Linked DNA regions of Xenopus tropicalis. The protein of the gene in region 2 purifies or fractionates together with the protein of the main gene of each other region. This does not show direct contact. Links are inferred from orthologs where the notes say so. Each region holds a gene or a part of one and is shown on either strand. Other genes may lie near its edges.

Region 1 (5,079 bases), on a different chromosome or scaffold from region 2:
TGCCAGTTAGGGAATAAACACAGGCCGAGAGTCAGTCCCTTGTGGCATCAGCCTTGCTGTCCCTTTGGGCCGCCCATACAGAAATGTCCCTGGAGGAGAGGTGGATTTTTATCACTTATAGAGCTGAAGCTCTCAGAGTTGGAATTTGAACTGCAGACTGTTTGCTGGGGCTGTAATTAGAGTAGAGAGATAATGCAGCCATAACACCATAAATAAGGAATGAATCGTGCGTATTGTAGGCCTATCTGTATCAGACTAAGGGTAATGGCACATTGGGCAATTCCACCTGCCGTATTCACCGACTGCAAACTCCACTTGTGATTTTTTTTTTTTTCTTTAAAGGTTAAATTTCTCCACTTCTCATTTTTACACAGCGTTTTAATGACCATTTATTTCTGAAATGTTGTTCTGCCTTTCCTGTGTCACTGTGTCTTTGGGTGATTCTCCGCTGTGCTATGATTGTGCTACTCCCTGACTTACTCCACTGTGAAAATGTCATAAAATGCAGTTTGCTCCTTTTTTGTCAAAAAGACAAATTCACTTTAAATTGCTTGTGAATATGGTTTAGGAGGTTATGGTTCAAAGTAGAGGAAGAAACATTTGCACACTGTCCCACAAAGGCTCCAAATAAAGTGACCGTCTGTAGAAGATGTTGTGCAACTTCAGCATAGCACAGTTCCTTTTTTAAATTTGTGTCTTTGGGAATACGGAGAATGCATTTACATCTGTTTTACCATCACTTTTAGCCCCCCCAGAACAGACTTTTTCCACTTTTTGTGAATCCCCCCTTGGAATTGCACCATATACCATTTCTCTAACACATAACAGTCCCCTCTTGTGGTTTTTTTGCTTGCATGCTCTCCCTTTTCCTGTTCTTTTAATCTCCAGTTCTCTAATAGTATTTCCCGCTAGCCACAGCTCTCCCTCTGTGTGTTTTCTGCCCTTGAGTTTAATGGCGTTCGATTTCCGTAGGTGGTTTTTCGGTAAAATCCCCCGTGCCAAAGCAGAGGAGATGCTTGGAAAGCAGAGACACGATGGTGCCTTTCTGATCCGAGAGAGTGAAAGTGCTCCTGGAGATTTCTCCTTATCAGTCAAGTGAGTGTTTTTCTTATGGGGATCTGTATTTTTTTTGGCAGTGCGGTCATGAATAGGGCCTGTTCCCCTTTACAATAACTTTTAGTATGACATAGACATTAATATTCTGAGACAATTTGCAATTAATTTTCATTTTTTATGGTTTTTCAGTTTCTCAGCTTTTCGTTCAGCAGCTCTCTGCTTGCTAGGGTCTTGTTTACCTTAGCAACCAGGCAGAGGTTTCCGTGAGAGACTGGAATATGAATAGGAAAGGGACTGAATAGAAGGATAAGGAATAAAAAGTAACAATAATAAAATTGCAAGCTCACGGAGCAATAGATTTTTGGCTGCCGGGGTCAGTGACCCCCATTTGAAAGCTGGAAAGATGTAGAAGAGATAATAAAATAAAACTTAAAAAAATAATGAAGATCAATTGCAAAGTTGTAAGGAATAGGGCCATCTATAACATACTAAAAGTTACCTTAAACTTTAAGGAGCATCTGTAAAAATTCACCCATCTTCTTCAGATTCGGCAATGACGTGCAGCACTTCAAGGTCCTACGGGATGGAGCCGGCAAGTATTTCCTGTGGGTGGTAAAGTTCAACTCGCTGAATGAGCTGGTGGACTACCACAGGTCCACATCCGTGTCTAGGAACCAGCAGATCTTCCTACGAGACATCGAGCAGGTTCCACAGGTACACGGGGGAGACAGAGCCACGAATTTGCTACAGGTATATAGAGGGGAGGGACAGGCAAGAGACTGTGCTTTGGATAGAAGCGCGGTGCATTTATACAGCTTTGTGTGGGATATAATGTATCTCGTTACTAAAGAGGAACAAAATCTCATCTTCTCTGATAACATTGGGCCTTTTCTCACATTTCCCACCTACCTTCCTGCCTGTCTGGTGTGGCTATTTGGGTTCTGTCTGTGTATAACTAGGGTGCTTTGTGGTGCATATATATTTCTGCTTGTAGGAATGTTGTGCTATGTATAATAGGTGCATGCAGAATGAGGGAGGGGTATCCTGTGTTATTAAGGCTAAGCCCCCCTGACATGTCGATCTTTAACCTCACCGCAGCAACCGACCTATGTGCAGGCGCTATTTGACTTTGACCCACAAGAAGATGGTGAACTTGGATTCCGACGAGGAGACTTCATCCAAGTTGTAGACAACTCCGACCCCAACTGGTGGAAGGGGACATGCCTCGGCCAAACTGGCATGTTCCCACGCAACTACGTGACACCCGTTAACCGTAACATGTAACCAGAGTCGGCAAGGAACCAGTGGCCAAGGAGGAGCACAGGCAGACTGATCTGGGAGGCATTTCGGACTGACTGAGCGACCAAAGGGAGAGAAAATCTTTACCCGGGGGAAGCCAAGACAGACTGACCAAGACAGACAGATGACTGTCTAAATGCAGCCCCGCACACCAGCAAGGACAGTTTGCCCCGGGATTGTCATAAATACTCAATAACAGGATAGAAACATGGATAGATCATTAACTTGGGGGGGGTGGGTGGGGGGACATAGACATATATTGTAAGAATGCTTATGTTTTGACTGCCTCAATCTGGTTGGCTGCTGCCCTTTGACTGACAGATGACAGCATTGCAGAATAGCGCAGGGGGCGAGGGTGGGAATGGTACGCATTCAGTATAGCTCAAACCCAACTCTATAGACCGACAGACTCGACTGTATCGCAGATGTTATTGCTTCCTGGGCCTGGATCTGAGACGGCGATCCCACAAGTCTGGCTGTGCTTTGTGCAGCCGCCACGCACGCTTTCCACAAGGTGAACCCCTTGGCCCAACGTTGAACTTTTTTTTGGGTGGGAGGGCGAAGGGTCCGACCGACTCTCGAGGGGAAGGGGATGGGCGATTGTTGATGTTTGATTAAGAATGCCAAAACTTACCTTTAAATTAAAACAAAAACAAGAGACTTTTTTTTTTAATTAACAAACTCCCTTTACTGCTGCTGTTTCTTCCCCACGTCCCATTCCTGTTTCACCCCCCCCATCCTTATCATGCATGTGTTAGCCAAGCACTAAGTACACACGCCTTGGAAAATAAAATGCGCAGAAGTGAGAGCTGCCATATCCACTCATTTTCTCTCTATGCAAGTCTGGTTCTGCTGGTTTGATTGTAAGGGGCCACAAACTCTATCCCCCCCGTTTTTCTGGAGTAGGGAGCCCCCCCAAATAAACAAGGTTGGTGGGGGGTGGAGCGGTAGCTGGCACATATATGCCTGTCTAGCCTGGTGTCTGTTCAGCTGACCGGCCTCAGGCATCTTTACATGATATTGACATTTTGTATCTCACTCCCACAGTACAGACAGCAGTTGGCCTAATCTACTATTCTATGGTTCTGTCATTTAACACAAGTACTGGCAGGAAAATACGTTTGGGATTGGGGCTGGGAGGGGGCCAGCAGGGATCTGGCAGGGTATTGGTTATAACCTAGGGTTTTGAACGACAAGAGGCAAAGGACACTTTTAATATCACACAATTATTTCAATTTCTGTGAGGTTGCTAGGGGAATTCACCCTAACAACCTGGCAGTGGTTTGACTGACCGGGTAGGAATGGCTTTATGCTTGGCAGTAGCTTCAGAAGTGGTTCAGGGTAGAATGATGCAGAGAATCGGCCTCTGCCCACTATGTCTAGCTATCGGAGCAGTGGTTCCTGGCACGTGGGCCGATGTTCCAGCTTGCCCTGGTTGTTTAAAGGGAATTAAAAAGTATTAAAAATATAAATGATAATATGCCCTTTTAGCAAGCAAGCAAGTATAAAGTATAGCTTATATACAGCACAGAGTATTTATACTTATGTATTGGAGCTGCCATACTACTTGCCTCTCCTGCTGTATTCATAACCACACAGCATTGCTTATAGAACAGAGGAAAGCAATATGGCAGCTCCCATGTTATACCGCAATATTAAGAAAGGAGTGTTTTGTTCACGAAGCAAGCCATGCTCTGAGCATCTAAGTGCAATTAAATGAGAAAGTCATGCAAATAGGGTCTGTTTCCCGTTAAGTATTGAATTTTTAGCCATGTCCTCAAAACCCTACGGTGGTAACGTAAGTCCCTCACTGAGGACAGCTGGACTGCCTCTCTGGCCCCCTCCTCCTTGCCCCTCTGACTCTCGGTCCATCTTATCTGCTTCCTCCAGGTCATCGTGTATGGGGGGGCTTGGAATGCACTGGGACCATATGATTGTCTCTTCGGGGATCTGTGTGTATCCTGCAGCCTTGCAGATTGGTAACTTGTGTGTGTATATGAAACCAATCAAATCAGTGTTTAATTAAAGAACGGCTTCTGTATTTAATCCTCCAATGCAGCATTCAGTAGATAGATGTTAACTGTTAATAATAATAATAATAATAATAATAAATCTGGTGTTTTGTTCACCTGACTGTTGGTAAACAGGTTTCATTTCTTCATGGAAATCCGGCTATCCCACAGCCACCTCCCCTGCATATGGGATCCATACCATCACTGCCTGCCCAGCATTTGCTTTGTTATTGTGGGCTCATAACCAGCAAAAGGTTCTTATTGTAGGCACATATATAAGTGAATTAAAAGCTTATACTTGTCTTTGTATTCAGAATTGCAGATAAATCTATCCACTCTTTGTACAACCAAGCTGTTCCCATGTTTTAGGGCTTTGTCTTCTAAGGGCTGTGGCACACGGGGAGATTAGTCGCCCGCGACAAAACTCCCTGTTCGCAGGCGACTAATCTCCCCGAGTTGCCATCACCTGCCATCCCACCGGCGAAAATGTAAGTCGCCGGTGGGATGGCACACGCGGCGGCACGATTTCCCAAAATCGCCGAAAGCCTCGCGAGGCAACTTCGCCGATTTCCCGAAATCCCACCGGCGACTTACATTTTCACAGGTGATGGCAACTCGGGGAGATTAGTCGTGGGCGACTAATCTCCCCATGTGCCAGAGCCCTTAAAGGTATTGCTTGGCTGTGTGTGTGAGACTTTTATCACTTTCTGCT
Region 2 (6,267 bases):
TAAGGAACCCTTGGGTGAGATGATGAAGGGATCATTGGATGAGTTGATAAGGAACCCTTGGATGAGTTGATGAAGGGAACTTTGGATGAGAAGATGAAGGAACCCTTGGGTGAGATGATGAAGGGATCATTTGATGAGTTGATAAAGAACCCTTGGGTGAGATGATAAAGGGATCATTGGATGAGTTGATAAGGAACCCTTGGGTGAGTTGATAAGGAACCCATGGGCGAGATGATGAAGGGACCATTTGATGAGTTGATAAGGAACTCTTGGGTGAGATGATGAAGGGACCTTTGGATAAGCTTATGAAGGAAACTTGGGTGAGCTAATGAAAAGACCTTTTGGATGAGAAGATGAAGTGAGCTGATGATTTTGTCCTTTTAAAGACACTCTTCACCTTTAAATCAACTTTAACTATCTTGGAGACAGTTTGCCATTAGTCTTCATTTTGTTTGTGGTTTCTAATCTGGCTAGAAGAAATCATTAATAATAATTAAGGACCTAATTGTCCTACAATAGCACAGACTGAAGTGAATTCCAGGGCAAACTACAGACTGGAGGTTGCACTCACCTAATAAGGGAGATATTTTTGCGCGGTACTTCCTTGAGGTCGCCGATAGAGGTGACCTTCCCGGCAAAACAATAGTTGGGGTTATAGTCCGTCATGATGGTGGAGGTTCGGACCTTGCTGAGCTTATAGTCCGGGCTCTGCAGCTCCATCTGTATGGCCTGTAGCTCCTGGTGCTTCTTTCGGTACACTGGGAACAGAGCACAATATACTCTTTATTCGGTGCAAACGGCCTAACGTGGGAGACTGTGGCCCTCAAGGAGATGTTTATGGACCCCCCCAGCCTGACTAATCAGCCTGTTTGACTGTAGTTGATCAATAGTTGCTGTTCTGTTACTGCTATGCCATTGGTCTCAGATGAAACGTGAACTGGAATAACCCAACGAATTCTCCTAAAGTGTTAATTGCAATGAAGTGGACAAGCCGGGCAACATATGTTCTGCTATAGCGAGAGGCGCTCTGCTGCCCGACGGCTGGCACCGGGAATGGGAGCCGCGCGGTGTAATTAATGATGGATCAATGCACCGTGGGTCCCCGGGGGGGGGGATGAGTTTGTAGACCAGATGTTAAAGGCTTTGATGGTTCATTCTGCCCCGTGGCACAACCAGCTGAACATGCAGAGCGTCTGGGCCGAGGTTGCTCTGCCTTCTGGATAGAAGTCTTTTCAATAACTCTTTCCCACAATTCTTAGCTGATCAATAACAACTAAACTTTGATTAGCGAGTTGGAATCCTGCGCTAAAGGAGTAATTCATCCCTTGAGGAGCAGGGAATTCAGTCGCGCCTCTGCATTGATTGGATTGAATTAGAAGTGATATTAATGTAAAGACTGTCAGCTCTGTGGGCCAGAGCCGGGTCACTCACCTATCATTATCCCAGAGAAAGCCAATATGAGAGCCGCCACCAGGGCCGACGTCACAATGGACAAAACCAGCGACAGTGGCAGATGCGTCTCCTGGGCCGGCGCCAACGCCTCATCTGCAAACCATAGTGACATCACCATGAGATAACCATAGCAACCAGACTGCAATATTCACTATTTAATCCTTCAATTGCTCTGCAAGGTAATAGGGTTTAGCATTGGCTGACTGCATAGGAGGGGAGGCTGTAAGGGACCATGGTGCCGGCATCATTACGTTATGTATGTAACTGGAGGAGTCCCAAGCCGGACTTGGATTTCTTACTATTGAGTGCTATTCTGATACCTACTGGGAGCTGCTATCTTGCTCCCTTCCCATTGTTCTGCTGATCGGCTGCTGGGGGTGAGGAGGGAGATATCACTCCAACTTGCAGCGCAGCAGTAAAGTGTGCCTGAGTCTGAGCTTTCAGCCAGCGCTACACATTAGAACTGCTTTCAGCTAACCTATTGTTTCTCCTACTCCCATGTAACTGGAGGAGTCCCAAGCCGGACTTGGATTTCTTACTATTGAGTGCTATTCTGATACCTACTGGGAGCTGCTATCTTGCTCCCTTCCCATTGTTCTGCTGATCGGCTGCTGGGGGTGAGGGGGGGGGGGATATCACTCCAACTTGCAGCGCAGCAGTAAAGTGTGCCTGAGTCTGAGCTTTCAGCCAGCGCTACACATTAGAACTGCTTTCAGCTAACCTATTGTTTCTCCTACTCCCATGTAACTGGAGGAGTCCCAAGCCGGACTTGGATTCCTTACTTGTTCCGCTGATCGGCTGCTGGGGGTGAGGGGGGGGGGATATCACTCCAACTTGCAGCGCAGCAGTAAAGTGTGCAGGCTCTGTACATATGTTCAATAGAGCTGTAACCGACTCACCAATACAGGAGACCCCATCCTCAGCCAGGACAGTGCCGCGCTCACATAGACAGACGATTCTCTTGCTCTCGGGATCCAGGAGACACTCGTCCATCTCGCAGTGACTGCAGTTCAGGTGCAGTTTGATCTCCACCTCCCCGTGTCCCTCTATCACTGCAAAAAGCCAGAAAGCGAGATGGGAAATGGAAACACCAGCAGCCAATAAGGGTGAGATACTTTGCAATTGGTCTTTTTTTTATTATTGGTAGCGACATTCATACAGGAATGTACAGATAATATACAGTTACCTTTTAAGGGAGGGGTGTAGACAACCCCCCGGGGGCTGATAAAGGACACGCCTTCCAGCCCATCCATTTCTGCACTGTTACCCTCAGCAGCGTTTCCTCCTGCGGACAGTGGGGGGGCAGAAGGGCAGAATTAGCCGTTATTTGTGCGCTGGTGCAACTAATAAAGGGCTCCCCTAGGGATGAGTCTGCGGCCATAAGTTTTCAGGGTCCTTTTTTTATTTCTTACCCCTCGGGTAAGTGTTGTTCTTGGGTTGTTCTCTTTCCCATGGTCAGGCAAAGGGGAGGGGCTTGGGCACAAACTGGTAGTTCCATTGTGTTGATGTCCTTAATGGAACTCATGCAAATGACCTCAAGCTTTTCTGCAATAGGATTTAAGCTTTAAACAAATTCAGCCCAATAGAGGAGACCCCCAATACCATCTATCCCCCCCCCAGGGTGTATCTACAGCAAATAACATGGCAGATACTCACCAATATATCCCCCTCCTCCGCCTCCTGAGGAACATCCCCCTCCGCCCCCTCCGAATCCACCTCTAGTCTCCCAGCCCCACTTCTTAACGGCCTGGGGGCAGGATTCTCCACCAATGGCGCCTTCCATTAGGGACTTGCCCGCCCACGGTAACGCAGTGTGATCATTCCATCCGCCACCGCCACCTATAAATTATAAAGGATTTCACTGGTGAATCAACAATTTACTTTTAAAAACAGTCAGTGGTTCGGTGAGGTATTGGCGGGGCTCTGGTGAGGTGTGGGCGGGGTCTGGTGAGGTGTGGGCGGGGTCTGGTGAGGTATGGGCGGGGTTCTGGTGAGGTATGGGCGGGGTTCTGGTGAGGTATGGGTGGGGTTCTGGTGAGGTATGGGCGGGGCTCTGTTGAGGTATGGGCGGGGCTCTGTTGAGGTATGGGCGGGGGTCTGGTGAAGTACGGGCGGGGGTCTGGTGAGGTATGGGCGGGGTTCTGGTGAGGTATGGGCGGGGCTCTGGTGAGGTATGGGTGGGGCTCTGGTGAGGTATGGGCGGGGCTCTGTTGAGGTATGGGCGGGGTTCTGGTGAAGTATGGGCGGGGGTCTGGTGAGGTATGGGTGTGGCTCTGGCGAGGTATGGGCGGGGTTCTGGTGAGGTATGGGTGGGGTTCTGGTGAGGTATGGGCGGGGCTCTGTTGAGGTATGGGCGGGGCTCTGTTGAGGTATGGGCGGGGGTCTGGTGAAGTACGGGCGGGGGTCTGGTGAGGTATGGGCGGGGTTCTGGCGAGGTATGGGCGGGGCTCTGGTGAGGTATGGGTGGGGCTCTGGTGAGGTATGGGTGGGGCTCTGGTGAGGTATGGACGGGGCTCTGTTGAGGTATGGGCGGGGTTCTGGTGAAGTATGGGCGGGGGTCTGGTGAGGTATGGGTGTGGCTCTGGCAAGGTATGGGCGGGGTTCTGGCGAGGTGTGGGTGGGGTTCTGGTGAGGTGTGGGCGGGGCTCTGGTGAGGTGTGGGCGGGGCTCTGGTGAGGTGTGGGCGGGGCTATGGTGAGGTGTGGGTGGGGTTTGAGTGGAACCAGAGATGGCCAGGGTTTCTGTACCTGCTGCCCCTGATTTGCCATTCATTCCCGGGATGGTGTAATTGCTCTCCAGTCTCTCGGGGGGGATTACACTGGCCTTGGAGCGATACGCCCTTCCGCCCCCCCCTGCCGCTATCAGCAATGGGACAGGCTTTCCACTCTCCATCTGTTATGGGGGATATAATAACAGGGGAACAAGAAATCAGTTAGAATGAATACAGCTTGCAGAACTACAACTCCCAGAATCCTCACCAAAATACACGTTTAAGTAACTCCCCAATGTACATTCATTGACATTATTGCTATTTAGCAATTCAGCTCTCCTCCAATCAGTACCTTTATTTACAGGGTGCAAGGCATTGTGGGATACAGAGGCTTGGCTGGCAGGAAAGTGGCCTTTACTCTCCTTTGCCCTCGGTTCTTTCTCTCATAAGAGCTTATTGAAGTTGCTTTGTGCAAAAACAATATTATTTTACCTTGAAGACGTATGTTGCTCCGCCTCCGCCGCCTCCTCCTCCCGCCCACTCGCTCACACTGCCGTTAATCCGCAATTCATCCTCAATCTCAGTGTTTTCCCCAATACAAACCATCTGCAGCACAGAATTGGCCTATGGAGACAGAGACAGTTCCTCAGTGGGTTCCTCAGAGGGGTTGGATGGTTTCCCCCATAGCGACCAATACACCCAGGGATGGAGCAACAGATGGAGCCAACAACTGCCGGGCCAGGGGTCTTGTCTGATCAACTGTTTCAAGGTCTCTGTGCAAAACGGCCAATGTGGGCTTGGGGCTTGGCCATCAGATTGGGCCCAGGAACTTCAAGTTCTAAACCATGTGATGGGATGGATCTGCCCATGGGAGAGGTGCCTTACGCAAAGGTACAGGGAGGCCCCCCAACCAGCACTTGTAACTGGGAAGAGTGGGGTGAAATGGAACAACATGATGGGAATAGTAGGGCAAGATGGCAGCAGTGGGAAACAAAACCAAGATGGAGTTAGTAGGACAAGACAGACAGAGTTTGGCAAGATGGCAACTGTAAGGCATGATGGTGACAGTAGAAGAAGATGAAGAAAGTAGTGCAAAATGGAGACAGTAGGGCAAGATGGAGACAGTAGGACAAGATGGAGACAGTAGGGCAAGATGGAGACAGTAGGACAAGATGGGGACAGTAGGGCAAGATGGAGACAGTACGGCAAGATGGAGACAGTAGGACAAGATGGAGACAGTAGGACAAGATGGAGACAGTAGGACAAGATGGGGACAGTAGGGCAAGATGGAGACAGTACGGCAAGATGGAGACAGTAGGACAAGATGGAGACAGTAAGACAAGATGGGGACAGTAGGGCAAGATGGAGACAGTAGGGCAAGATGGAGACAGTAGGACAAGATGGAGACAGTAGGGCAAGATGGAGACAGTAGGGCAAGATGGAGACAGTAGGACAAGAGGGAGACAGTAGGGCAAGAGGGAGACAGTAGGGCAAGATGGAGACAGTAGGGCAAGAGGGAGACAGTAGGGCAAGATGGAGACAGTAGGGCAAGATGGAGAGTGAAGCTTCCAGGGCATGCTGGGAATTGTAGTCACTTGGCATGGGAAGGCTTTTCTCTTGCAGTTACTTGCCTCTCCCATAGGAATGAATGAGGGGACAGCAGAAAGTCAGACCCGGGGGGGTGGGGGCTGAACTGCACAAATCACAATGACATTATGAGAATGACCTTCATACAGGCCGTATATTGCTCAATTGCTGATTATAATCCAATTAAGTAGGTACATGCCTGCATAATTGCACGAAGCTTAATGACTTCATCAGCCAATTAATTTGCACTTGAACTTCGTTCTGCAAGTTAATGAGCTTCTGATGAACAAAATAAACCACAAAAATAAACGATACTGAGTAACAAGCCATGAACGTCTGGCTTTGATCCACCGCTTACTATGGAGCTGAACTAAGCAGGGGCCGGCCTACAGTGGTCACGTGACTATGGGAAGCCCCTGTTTTCCAGACATATCCCATATTATACATATTACATGCAACACTGATACTGAGTGACTAAAGTGTTGGGCTGGGCCTTCTAGAACCCACCACAAAACCTG
Region 3 (4,883 bases), on a different chromosome or scaffold from region 2:
CCCTACCCTCTAGTCCCAACCTCTACCCACTACTCCTACCTGCTGTCTGTGCTCCTACCCTCTAGTCCCAACCTCTACCCTCTACTCCCAACCTCTACCCTCTACTCCTACCTGCTGTCTGTGCTCCTACCCTCTAGTCCCAACCTCTACCCTCTACTCCTACCTGCTGTCTGTGCTCCTACCCTCTAGTCCCAACCTCTACCCTCTACTCCTACCTGCTGTCTGTGCCCCTACCCTCTAGTCCCAACCTCTACCCTCTACTCCTACCTGCTGTCTGTGCCCCTACCCTCTAGTCCCAACCTCTACCCTCTACTCCTACCTGCTGTCTGTGCCCCTACCCTCTAGTCCCAACATCTACCCTCTACTCCTACCTGCTGTCTGTGCTCCTACCCTCTAGTCCCAACCTCTACCCTCTACTCCTACCTACTGTCTGTGCCCCTACCCTCTAGTCCCAACCTCTACCCACTACTCCTACCTGCTGTCTGTGCTCCTACCCTCTAGTCCCAACCTCTACCCTCTACTCCTACCTACTGTCTGTGCCCCTACCCTCTAGTCCCAACCTCTACCCACTACTCCTACCTGCTGTCTATGCTCCTACCCTCTAGTCCCAACCTCTACCCTCTACTCCCAACCTCTACCCTCTACTCCTACCTGCTGTCTGTGCTCCGACCCTCTAGTCCCAACCTCTACCCACTACTCCTACCTGCTGTCTATGCTCCTACCCTCTAGTCCCAACCTCTACCCTCTACTCCTACCTGCTGTCTGTGCTCCGACCCTCTAGTCCCAACCTCTACCCACTACTCCTACCTGCTGTCTATGCTCCTACCCTACCGCATACACACGTACTCACACTGCTGTATAGCTGTACCCATATGCCCCCATACACACGTACTCACACTGCTGTATAGCTGTACCCATATGCCCCCATACACACGTCCTCACACTGCTGTATAGCTGTACCCATATGCCCCCATACACACGTACTCACACTGCTGTATAGCTGTACCCATATGCCCCCATACACACGTACTCACACTGCTGTATAGCTGTACCCATATGCCCCCATACACACGTACTCACACTGCTGTATAGCTGTACCCATATGCCCCCATACACACGTCCTCACACTGCTGTATAGCTGTACCCATATGCCCCCATACACACGTACTCACACTGCTGTATAGCTGTACCCATATGCCCACATGTACATGCCACACACAGTAGTACTGCCATAAAATGCTTGTTCTTTTTGACTCTAACTTACTCATGTGAGTAAATCCATAGCTGCCCCTGCTGTTCCCCAACACACGCACACATATATGTTAGTACCCGTGGTTCCTCCTGCCGTGGTGACATCACTTCCTGTATAAATCACTCTGTGTATCCCCTGCTTCCTGGGCTGCTTCCCTCCTTTCCTTCCTTGCTATCCTGCTGCCCAACATATCCTGCTGCCCCTGTGTGGCCTTATAGGGTCACTTCTACCTGCCCCAGTGCCTACATAGAACCCCGGGAGTGACTAATGCCATGTTGTGCTCTTGCCTTGCAGTACATGGGCTGTGTGGAAGTTCTGCAGTCAATGAGAGCCTTGGACTTCAACACCCGGACTCAAGTCACAAGGTAGGACCCCATCCTCTCCCACCTCCCAAGGGTACATTGTATTCTATAGCTGAGCAGCCAAGTGATTCCATTGATACAATTGTAGGTACGTAATGGCCAGTAGACACGAGCGTAGCCAGCTGGTACCTACATATCCTATTAATAACATTGTGACATGTATGGCATTAGGTGCCACATTGGCACAACCTGTGAGTGGGTATAACAGCATGGGGTGTCGGTAATACCCACAGCAGTGCAGGAATATAGTTCAAAGTCAGTGGGGGATGTATGGCCAATACTGCTGCAGGATCAGCTGCTCCTTCCCCCAGTGATTGGCCCACAGGCTCTCATTCTGTAATGCCCTGCACCAGTGGGCCTGTGTGTGCCCATCCGAATGATTCCTGGCATTTGGGAGAAGTGAGAGGCAATTTGGCGCTGGCTAATGGGAGTCCTGCCCCAGGGCCCCTGCTATATGTACCCTAATGGTGCCTTTCTCTGCGCAGGGAAGCCATAAGCCTGGTGTGCGATGCTGTTCCAGGAGCAAAGGGGGCAATGCGACGGCGAAAGGTAACTATGAACCGAACACTCTGCAGATAATGTACTACAACTCCCAGCATCCCTCCTGTACCCAAATAGCACCCGGCCTCCCAACCCTTCATTTATCAGGCACCGACTGACATATATACCTAATGAGGGCCTCTCCCCTGTGGGGCAGGAAGAGTTAAAGAGAGAGGGAGGCATTAGGTTAATGAAAGGAAAGCAGGCAGATCAATATGCCCTGATTGTGTCTGGACTCCATCTGCTAATGGATGGGTGTGGCCTGTGGGACAGAGCGGTCAGCTCTCCCTGCAGTTCCTGCACTGCCATACCAATGGGGGGTTCCCTTGTAGCCAATGACTGGATCACAGCCCCCCCCGCTGCTTGGGGGTAGCAGCCCTATTAAGAGCACCGCCATCCCCCTTATGTTCAGATTGGGGTTGCCCCTAGCCCATGCATGCAGCACTGCTAGAGCCATGCAGCGTGTGTGGGTGCAGCCATACTGCTAGCTCATCAGCCATGCAGCGTGTGTGGGTGCAGCCATACTGCTAGCTCATCAGCCATGCAGCATCCATATTCTGTAGCAGGATGGTGTGTGCAACCCTACATAGAATGAATACTGTGTGGGCATAGTTACAATGTGCCACAGGTGCCAATGTGCAGCCGCTAGCTGTTTGGGTATAACCATCTTGCACTGGTTTTTACCACTTTGGACTTTTGATGTTTTCCTACTTGGCCTCCCTCTCTCCCTGGCTTCTCTCCTGCTGCTTCCTACCTACCTACCTACCTACCTGGCCTGCTGCACTGCCCATTGTATTGGTCAGTCCTACCTAACTCTTTCTCTCCATGTCCCCCCCCCAAAGACTTGTGGGCGGTCCTTAAACTCCATCCTAGGGAAGAGCAACCTGAAGTTCGCCGGCATGCCAATCACTCTGACCGTCTCCACCAGCAGCCTCAACCTCATGGCCTCCGACTGCAAACAGGTGAGACACCTGGGCCCCAGCCCTCATGTTGTACAGGTCTTGTCATGTGACCTCCTACTAGCCCTGCTGAGGTTGGCCACGCTGGCTACCATTCTAGGCCTCTGGGTTCCAGCAGAGGGGGAATCTGATAATAATTGCAGCCTTTGTCTCTTCCTCCATTACAGATCATCGCCAACCACCACATGCAGTCAATATCATTTGCTTCTGGGGGAGATCCCGTAAGTGCTGGGGCTGTGTGCCTGGGTTTGTATATGGGAGGGAGGGGGAGGGTGTTTGTATATGGGAGGGGGATGAGTTTTAGCTATGATACGGCGAACCTTTGGATATCAATGGTAGGTATAATGGAACAATCTTTGTTTCATACCGTTATATAGGAGCACGTATGGCCAGCTTAATGGTGTATGAAATAGGCGGAGCTAATGTATGGATAGGAGTTGGGGGGCGGGGCTCATACAGGCTTCTCTTGTCCTGCAATCCGTTCTCTTGTTCCCCTTAGGATACAGCTGAGTATGTCGCTTATGTGGCCAAAGATCCAGTCAATCAGAGAGGTGGGTACAAGAGATATATATATATATATATATATATATATATATAGCCATTGCTGCTTGCAGTAGGAGGAGTCACCACATCTGTGCTCTCTCACAGCCTGCCATATCCTGGAGTGCCCAGAAGGCCTTGCTCAGGACGTGATCAGCACAATAGGACAGGCCTTTGAACTACGCTTCAAACAATACCTCAAAAATCCCCCCAAACTGGTCACCCCCCATGACAGGTAAGTGCCTCTCATTATTAAATAAAGGGTAAGTAAGAGGAATAGTCAGGGAATTTCACTTTTGTCTCTTCCCCTTGCGTGCTCCCGGCAGAATGGCTGGTTTTGATGGGTCGGCGTGGGATGAGGAAGAGGAGGAGCTCCCAGACCATGCCTATTACAATGATTTCCCAGGGAAAGAGCCCCCTATTGGGGGAGTAGTAGATATGCGGCTGCGAGATGGGGTAGCACCGGCAGTTCCTAGGCAAAGCCCAAATCACATGGGTGCCACCCTGGTAAGTTCATGGGCAGAGAGAGGAAGAGAGGGTGCTGTAGGAAACATGATCCGGGCTGAGCTTTTCCTTTCTCCCACAGCCCGTGGGACAGGTCTCTGGTGCCGAACAGGATTCCAGGAAGCCACAGCCGACAGTGCAAGGTAGGAGCCACTAGTGGCCAGTGTACCATCTGCCTGTGTGCCTAATGTGCAGCCCCACATTGCATGTCCTACTGGAGATGGCTGTATAGCTCCTCCCCCTGTTAGTTACTGTACTTGGACCATATACCTCCCTTTGGTTCCCCTAAATGTCCCCAAGCTACAGACCCTTCATGGGGTGGGGGTAGTTCATTACTCACACTGTCTTGTCCCCCGTAGGCAGGGAGAGATTTCCAGTCCCCTGCAGTCGGCCTCCGAATCGGCCCGATCTCTTCGATGACCCCTCCTACGTCAATGTCCAGAACCTGGAGAAGTCTCGGCAGCCTCTGCGGGCAGCAAACGGCCAGAGGGACATCTTCGACATGAGTGCGTTCCATTCGTAACCTGCATTTGTTACCCCCCCCCCCAACCTTGTGTTAATGGTACCAACTTGTCTGTGGGTCAGTCTCTCCTAAACCCAATGGGCACTAATGGTACCGACATGTCTGCGGGTCAGTCTCTCCTAGACCCAATGGGCACTAATGGTACCGACATGTCTGCGGGTCAGTCTCTCCTAGACCCAATGGGCACTAATGGTACCGACATG

Evidence for each region. Proteins that work in one complex are often made in the same cells at the same time.
Region 1: the proteins of alk (region 2) and grb2 purify together in Homo sapiens (affinity purification with western blotting; 3 studies listed by BioGRID and IntAct, with this or other methods). This does not show direct contact. The link is inferred for Xenopus tropicalis from reciprocal best matches to the Homo sapiens genes ALK and GRB2.
Region 3: the proteins of alk (region 2) and shc1 purify together in Homo sapiens (affinity purification with mass spectrometry; 3 studies listed by BioGRID and IntAct, with this or other methods). This does not show direct contact. The link is inferred for Xenopus tropicalis from reciprocal best matches to the Homo sapiens genes ALK and SHC1.

What each region holds. Positions count from the first base shown.
Region 1 is NC_030686.2:44,448,878-44,453,956, reverse strand, and holds the end of grb2 (growth factor receptor-bound protein 2), read left to right. Parts: intron 1-972; coding exon 973-1,095; intron 1,096-1,601; coding exon 1,602-1,806; intron 1,807-2,154; coding exon 2,155-2,340; 3' UTR 2,341-3,196; downstream 3,197-5,079. UniProt on the Homo sapiens protein: Non-enzymatic adapter protein that plays a pivotal role in precisely regulated signaling cascades from cell surface receptors to cellular responses, including signaling transduction and gene expression.
Region 2 is NC_030681.2:6,145,520-6,151,786, forward strand, and holds part of alk (ALK tyrosine kinase receptor), read right to left. Parts: intron 4,787-6,267; coding exon 4,655-4,786; intron 4,345-4,654; coding exon 4,200-4,344; intron 3,292-4,199; coding exon 3,109-3,291; intron 2,738-3,108; coding exon 2,639-2,737; intron 2,505-2,638; coding exon 2,352-2,504; intron 1,546-2,351; coding exon 1,432-1,545; intron 759-1,431; coding exon 572-758; intron 1-571. UniProt on the Homo sapiens protein: Neuronal receptor tyrosine kinase that is essentially and transiently expressed in specific regions of the central and peripheral nervous systems and plays an important role in the genesis and differentiation of the nervous system.
Region 3 is NC_030684.2:145,087,372-145,092,254, forward strand, and holds part of shc1 (SHC-transforming protein 1), read left to right. Parts: intron 1-1,546; coding exon 1,547-1,617; intron 1,618-2,099; coding exon 2,100-2,163; intron 2,164-2,996; coding exon 2,997-3,116; intron 3,117-3,280; coding exon 3,281-3,334; intron 3,335-3,612; coding exon 3,613-3,664; intron 3,665-3,761; coding exon 3,762-3,888; intron 3,889-3,979; coding exon 3,980-4,160; intron 4,161-4,239; coding exon 4,240-4,300; intron 4,301-4,516; coding exon 4,517-4,663; intron 4,664-4,883. UniProt on the Homo sapiens protein: Signaling adapter that couples activated growth factor receptors to signaling pathways. Participates in a signaling cascade initiated by activated KIT and KITLG/SCF.